2 linked regions of the Xenopus tropicalis genome follow. The protein of the gene in region 1 purifies or fractionates together with the protein of each later gene. This does not show direct contact. Links are inferred from orthologs where the notes say so. Each region holds a gene or a part of one and is shown on either strand. Other genes may lie near its edges.

Region 1 (3,651 bases):
CTGAACACCTGTTGGATACCTACATATTTTAAATGTTTTTACTTTAGTTATACAGGTTACAAAACAATTAGCATTTAAACAAACTGCAAACACATTCTGCAGCAGTATTTTATAATATATAAAAAAAGCAGTTATATTCTAAAGCAAAGGGTTTCTTGTTAAACTTTTGCAGTCCTGGATACAGCTGGGATCAAAACAATGTGGTTATTAAATGAAATTTCCCCCCCCCCCCCTTGGATTCGGCCAAAACCGAATCCTTAAAGAAAAAAGGCTGGATTCAGCCCAAATCCCGAACCGAATCCGGGATTCGGTGCATCCCTACTAAAATCTATAATTCATATTTTTGGTTTGAATCTTCAAAAAACAAAGTATATATTGTTGCCAAATTAGTTAAGCACATAGACAGTGGTTTGAATGAGAAACTAGAATATGAATAGGAGATAACAACGATAAAATCGCAAGGACTAGTTTTTTGCATGCCGTGGTCAGTGACCCCCTACTTAAAAGATCAGAAGAAGGCAGAAAATAATTAAAAAACTAGTCAAAAATAAAATAAATAAAAAAGGTTAAGTAATTAGAAAGTAAAAAATGAAGACCAACTGGCAAGTTTCTAAGAATAGGCCATTCTAGAACATACTAACAGTTAACTTAAACGTGAACTGCCCCTTTAAATAAAATAGCACGAGTTATAAGAAATTGAGAATTTTCATGCTTCTACAAAATAGGAAATGTGAGCAAGAGGCAAAATATCTTTTAATGTATTATCACCTGTGCCAAAGTCTTTTCAGAGTCTCCTACATATGGAGAGAAAAGATCTGCTGCGCTGATAGAGAAGAAGGAGCAATGACAACTTGTTGCCACAGCTTTTACTAATGTGGTTTTGGCACATCCAGGAGGCCCGTACAGTAGAACTCCTTTTGGTGGTGTGAGTCCCATCCTACTGAAAGCTTCTGGATACTTCATGGGCCACTCAATGCTCTGAAAGTACAAGCATACTGTTACCTTTATAAAACATAATTATCCAGGTTTGCTTGTACAAAATAAGAGTGCTTTTGCTAGCCAGGTCCTTGTGTTTTTCAGAACAGAATATGGTATAACAAAGTAGAAACATTTACAGTGGAACTATCATGTTTAATCCTGTGTACACCCTCAGCTCATGGGCTGCTTCCATATAAATAGGTTCACACATCTCTCACCAAAATGAAAGGTTTTAAAGTAATAAAAATACAATGTACTGCTACACTGCCCTGGTAACAGTTGTATTTTTGCTTCAGAAACACTACTATAGTTTATATAAATAAGATGCTGTTTAGCCACATTGGCAGCCATTTGAGCTGGAAAAAGGATATATAAGGTTATATAACAGATAACTGTTTTTTTTATTTGTTATCTGATATCTAACCTATGCCATGTAGCCCCATTTCAATGGGAATGACAGATCCTATGACTACACAGCAGCTTTGTTTATATAAAATGATAATAGTGTTTCTGAACAGAATACACAACTTTTACCAGTGAAGTAGTGCAACAGTATATATATATATATTTGAATTACCTAGATACGTATTCATTTTGGTGTTACTGTTGCTTTAACTTCTCAGCTAATGTCACAGTGGTTGTTCTGTGTTTCTACAATAAAAGCCGTTGTAACAAAATGCTAAGACAAATCTGCCAATATAACTATCTATGAACATGAAGAATAAACCGCTGATGCAATTTGACCACTTTTAAATACTTTAGTTCCTTCCTACTACATTGTCAATGCCCAGCAAAACATGAACACCTTTGTTATTGCTCAAGATGTTTGAGCACAGAAAACACTAATTTATTGGCAACCAACTGAAATGACTAACCCTAACTAAGATACTTCCACAGTTTTCCAAAAGTAACAGGAGACCCCCTTTAAGGGCTGTGGCAGCCAGGGAGACTAGTCGCCTGCTACAAATTGTTTTCGGATCCATTTAATATAATGCTTCTAAATTGGTTTATTTATCCAGTCATCAATACTTTTGTAAAGACTGTCAAACTTGCTCCCCCCTAGCCGTTGCACACATAGAACTTTGTCAGACAATTTTATAAAGTTTTCTACAACAGCTCACAATTTAATGAGCCATTCAACCCATAGAAATAAAAATTATGAATTATAGCTCGTAATGTAAGATGTGCTTACCTGTGGGTTGCCTGCGATTAAGAATGGGATACAATAAACATTAAATATAAGGGGTATTTTCCTTTTTTTTTTCCCTAGTATTATTTCAAACATTATTCCCAAAGTATTTGCTCAATTCTAGGTATCATAGTCCACAGTAGCTACAATGGAATGATCTCCTTGCTCCCATAATAACCTGTCTTAGCTTGTGCTTGATATCTTCAAGACCTCCAATATGCTCCCAATGAACTGGCTTAAACTCCACCCGACCAATTGAGCTTCGTGCGGAAGAGGGTCGAATCCTTTTAAATGCTTCATAAAAATGTGCTCTGCTCACTAAATTACACAGACTGTCCTGAAAGGCAAGGAAACAATGTTAGGATTCTAATGCTACCAAGGGTTAGAGTTATATTTCAATAACAGAAAACAAGAAGCACAATGCTTTAAATGAGTGTTGGCTTACATTACCTATAATATAGGACATTTGATCTGAATATAAGGCTCTGGATTCTGCTCAGGTAGTAAATGATTTTACTTCTAATTACAATAAATCTACTACAACATCTTACCAAACTGGCCTGAAGTACAGCCTGCATAGCTGCATCTCTGCACAGGGCAGTGAGATCGGCACCAACATATCCCACTGTCACATCTGCCAAGGCTGCCGCATCTACATCTCTATCAGTGGGCATGTTTGATATCATCATTTCCAGAATAGCTTGCCGTTGCTTATGAGTAGGAGTTCCAATGATTACCTTAAAAATATCAGAAAAACAGATGTTCATGATACCATCAAAGACTTTTGCATTATATAATAGAAAGAGGTCAGATGATTAATTTGGCAATAACATTTGCTCATGCTGTTCAGCTCTCAGCATTTTACTGTGTGAAATAATTCACTAATAATACATTATGTATTACTCCTCCCCAATTTAATTCATGTTTGAGCAGTTACATTCATAATTGATATCCCAATAGAAAAACCTTGCACTACAGTTTAAATACAGGGTGCTCAGTATGTATATTTGGAGTAAAGTAAATAGTGTTAAAGACACAAAAAGAAACTGGCACACCTGTTAGATTCAATAAAATATAACCATTCCTATTATCTTAAAATAAACATAGCTAAAAAAAGATAGAAAAGATAAGAAGGAAAGTTAAAAAATCGAATTCACACCCTGAATCTCAATCAAATGTAACTGACTCACTCGTGGATACTATTACTTAAATTGTTTCTTTAGTATCACCAATGACTTGTGTTGGCAACATATGTAACAACTCTTACTGTGGGTGCGTTAGTTATGCACATGTTACATATGTTGCCAACACAAGTCATTGGTGATACTAAAGAAACAATTTAAGTAATAGTATCCACGAGTGAGTCAGTTACATTTGATTGAGATTCAGGGTGTGAATTCGATTTTTTAACTTTCCTTCTTATCTTTTCTATCTTTTTTTAGCGATGTTTATTTTAAGATAATAGGAATAAAGGCTTTTGTGTC
Region 2 (4,268 bases), on another chromosome or scaffold:
GTACCCTTTCCAATATATTTGCATGGAAAGGTTGCACTGCTTAGATCATAAGCAATCTACTCTCTCCACAAGTCAGGGGGGATCGCTGACACCTTGCCTGTAAAAGATGCTGCCTGCAGAGGAATGACGTTAGAAGGAAGGGGCATGTCCAGAAGCACTTGTGTGTGACTATGTCAGATTTCTCATCAGGAAGGGGAGGGAAAAGGCTGCAGAGAGACAGAGAAAATGGGTATTAAGATCAGTTCAGCCTTACCTTTCTAGGTAAATATGTTAAAAGCGGTTCATTTTCGTTCGAAAAATTGCAGATATGATTTAAATTAAAAAAAAAATGTTTATTTAATTAAAGTGTTTTAAAGGTGGACATTGCCTTTAATATGCACATGTATGTAATAGCCATGTTCCATTATCTTTCACAGATATATATATAATAATTGAAACAGGCTGTCTGCCTAAAGCATAGGTGTGTTATTAAACCAGCAATTTGGATCAGGCCTGGATTTGTGGGAAGGCCACAAAGGCCTGGGCCTAGGGCAACATACCTCCTAGCCTTATCTATAATTTTTTGTTTGTACAGACACCCATATAATTGGAGACTGGACACCAGGTGCGTAACTAGGGTACACCAGGCCCCCATTCAAAAAAATATTTGATAGAGCTCGGCACACACTTGGACACCCCCCCCCCCCCCCCCCCGCCCCCTAACCTGCCCAACCCACTAAGCGCCCCACACTGGAGTCTCCCGCCCACCGCAAGTAGGAAAGTGGCTGTGAAGGGGGGGGGGATTTTTTCATTTTTATAGAGGTAGCAGGCCCCGCGGTCTGGGCCCCCCTGCAACTGCAGGGTCTGCTTCCACTTTAGTTATGCCACTGCTGGACACGCCTGAGATTGTGACAGTTATTTGAATCTCCTGTGCCCAGTCCTTAGTCAAGGCTAGGTAGGGTCCCTTTATACCCGACCCCAGGACCAAAAGGCTCCAAAGGGCAAGGGTCTTCGAACTCTCCTTTGCCTCATGGCTAGGGAGAGTCCCTTTCCCCCAGGTTCAGCCAAAGCTTCCCCTCAGGTTTCTTCAAGGCCAAAGTCCTGTCTTTTGTCAGGGAGAGACAGGAGCCTCATGGCCACACAGTCCTCCCCTTGGTTTGTGGGGCATACCCTTCAGGCAAAAGGCCGGGGCAGAAACTGTAGGAACTACATGTTTTACACGTTATTATTTTCTAGATAGCTCTGTCTTGGAGGCTTCTTATTTTTTCGATACAAGGTCTATTACTATAAATTCGAATAAACCTAAACTAATAACGCTACATGGTATAATAAACTACATTTACCGTGATGCCTTGCTTGCAGTAAATACGAAGTTCCGGCTCATGCGTAACAGGAAGTTTATCACACGTGTGTGTGACTTTGAGCTGCTGCCGGTCACAGTAACGTTGAAATGGACGGGTTCGGGGCTGACTTCTCTGTGGGGGGATCTAGCTCTGGGAAAGTTGATACCGGAGCAATAATGGAACAAGTTAAGGTGCAGATCGCAGTTGCAAACGCTCAGGAACTTTTGCAGGTAAAAGGGCTTTCTGGACAACCTTACTTTCACAGGACAGTAATTTTTTTTGTCTTGTCTTCTAGCTATGCCTCTTTTTAGACGACTTGTGGTCATATTTTTTATGTAAGTTTTCTGATGAATTATCTGCATCACAATGCAATCTTCAGAAGCTTCCTTAGAAGATACTACAATTGTGACAGCAGTCATTGCTGTTTTTTGGTGGAATACAAGATTTTAAGGTACACATAGGGGCATATTTATTATGCTATGTAAAAAAAACAGCAAGAAAATTTGCCACACAGCGCCAGGCTTCGCTGTGTAAAAAATAGCATAGAATCTGCTTAATTTTTTTTAATGTGCTTTTTCTTCCACCGGAACTTGTGTGAAATAATGACGTAGAATATGGCGTTCGGACGGCGATCTTTTCCGTTTATTTTACACAGCTTTTTACACTGTTTTTTTTGGCGAATTCATTTTACACAGCTTAATAAATATGCCCCATATTGTAGCCCAGGAGGTAGCTGTGCATTGCTGTAGGGCCATCTTGTTTATATTGATCACAGATATGCTATTTGAAGATCAGGTTTTGATTCTTATGTGGTGGGTCAACCCTATATTTACAGTGGGAAAATCGGCCTCTGTGGCCAAGCCTTGTCACATATAACTCAATAATTAGAACAGTCAATTTCACAAAAAGTACTCCTTTTTTCACAGTGTTTTTCATACACTTTCAGTGTATGTTTCTGTCGGTGTAGTGTCAAGTCATACTGGCTTAGGGGTTGAAGCATTTTTCAATAGGCAATTTTTGTTAATACAGATTGGGTGCATATTTTGTATGGTATTCATGTTGAGAGTACTGTAATTTTTGCTTTCAGATAATCAATTTAAAACCCCAGTGGGCTTGTGTAAGGGCATAATTTATAGAGCACTTTTCTCAATGGGGCTCTAAGCACTTTACAGCAATTATAGGCACACTATGGGGCTCATTTACTAACCATCGATTTAAAATTTTAAACTCGATTCAAATTTTTTTCCAAAAAATTCACAGAATAAAAACACGACTTCTGAGATTTACAATGAGTCTAAAAGGCTAAAAATCAGAATTTGGCAATTTGGCAGATTAAACTTGCCGAGTTCATGTAGAAGTCTAAGGCAGAGGTCCCTTACCTTTCCTTAAAGTTCTTTCTGTGTTTTGTCCAAAAATCACTACTAATTTTTCAAATTGTCGCAGTGACAATTTGATAAAGTTGGGATTTTCACAGTGACAGTTTGCAAAAGTCTTCCTAAGTATTCCTAAGGATGCTGAAACACCAGAAGATTAAAGAAACAGGAACACCAAAAATCAAAGTGTTTTAAAGTAGTTAAAATATGATGTACTGCACTAGTACAACTGGTGCCTTTTTTTCAGAAACTTTACTATAGCTTATATAAACAAGCTGAATGGCTCCCCACATGGCTACACAGCAAGGCCAAAAAGGCACAGGTTACACAACAGATAACGGGTAAGCTGTGCAGACTCAGATTTGTATACTACAGAGTTTATCTGTTATCAACCGTGTGTACTGTGCTTGAATGGCTGCTCCCATGGCTACTGAGCAGCTTGTTCATATAAACAAAAGTAGTGTTTCTGAACACTGAGTTTTACCACTGCAGGGCATCAGTACATTATATTGCCATTCTTTAAGATCACTTTCATTTTTAGAGGTTACTGTTCCTTTAACTAACTTGTCCAGGATCACAAGAAATTGCCACAGGTAAAATCAACCTTAAAGGAGAAGGAAAGTCATTTTGGCATTTTATTGCCAATAGATTAGCGACATTAGTGCAAGCTACAACGCTATATTTATTCTGCAGAAAGCTTTACCATACCTGAGTAAGCAGCCCTAGAAACTCCCTCTGTTTATTTAAGAAAGCAGCTGCCATTTATCTTGGTCTCCACAGCTTCCTGCTGCAGCTCTAGCTGTTAGTAGCATATGTCACACATTCTGATGGGAGGGGGATTCATTCTTTTAAATTCTTTTTGGAGGGGAGAGCAGGAGAGAGGAGAAGAGCTGCACAGACTCCGGGCCCTGAATGAAGGACTTTTCTGAGAGGAAGTCAGATACCAAAGTATATGTATACACAAAAGGAGACAAGAAATCCTGTGTTTCTTTTTATAGAGGACTCTGTGAGTGCTTATGGCTGTATTTACATAGACCATTCTGATAAAGCTTACTAAGTTCTTAGCTTTCCTTCTCCTTTAACATCTTGGTCAAAGTGTACTACAGGTCTAGTTAGTTGTAGCAATCAATCAGCAGATAGCATTTACTGGTCTTCTGTTAAAAAGCAAAGTATCGCTAACCCCTAGCTAAAAATGCAGAGTAGCACAGCAGCGTACCTGGCCGACATCATCTTACTAACTTAAGAGACTTTGGGTCTCTCTGCCGATACGAACCTGCTTGCGCATGTGCAGTTAGAGGTAGCAGGAAATCTGCTTTAACTGTGCATCAGCAGTGAGACCCGAAGAGTCTTCAGTTGGTAAGCAGCTACGCTACTTTGCATTTTTAGCTAGGGATTAGCGATACTTTGCTTTTTTTTTTTAGGGGTTAGCGATACTTTGCTTTTTAACAGAAGAGTTACAGCATTTATGAAACTGGTTAGGTAATTGAGAGATATTTGTTCTTACAGTGGTAAAATAAACATTTGGTCACAAAAGAACTAGTAGTTTATGCATAATGTGCAGATTAGGTCTCCT

The links. Proteins that work in one complex are often made in the same cells at the same time.
Region 2: the proteins of spata5l1 (region 1) and timm13 purify together in Homo sapiens (co-immunoprecipitation; 3 studies listed by BioGRID and IntAct, with this or other methods). This does not show direct contact. The link is inferred for Xenopus tropicalis from reciprocal best matches to the Homo sapiens genes AFG2B and TIMM13.

What each region holds. Positions count from the first base shown.
Region 1 is NC_030679.2:104,572,873-104,576,523, reverse strand, and holds part of spata5l1 (spermatogenesis-associated protein 5-like protein 1), read right to left. Parts: intron 2,905-3,651; coding exon 2,719-2,904; intron 2,505-2,718; coding exon 2,346-2,504; intron 979-2,345; coding exon 769-978; intron 20-768; coding exon 1-19. UniProt on the Homo sapiens protein: ATP-dependent chaperone part of the 55LCC heterohexameric ATPase complex which is chromatin-associated and promotes replisome proteostasis to maintain replication fork progression and genome stability.
Region 2 is NC_030677.2:92,869,580-92,873,847, reverse strand, and holds the start of timm13 (mitochondrial import inner membrane translocase subunit Tim13), read left to right. Parts: upstream 1-1,424; 5' UTR 1,425-1,429; coding exon 1,430-1,552; intron 1,553-4,268. UniProt on the Homo sapiens protein: Mitochondrial intermembrane chaperone that participates in the import and insertion of some multi-pass transmembrane proteins into the mitochondrial inner membrane.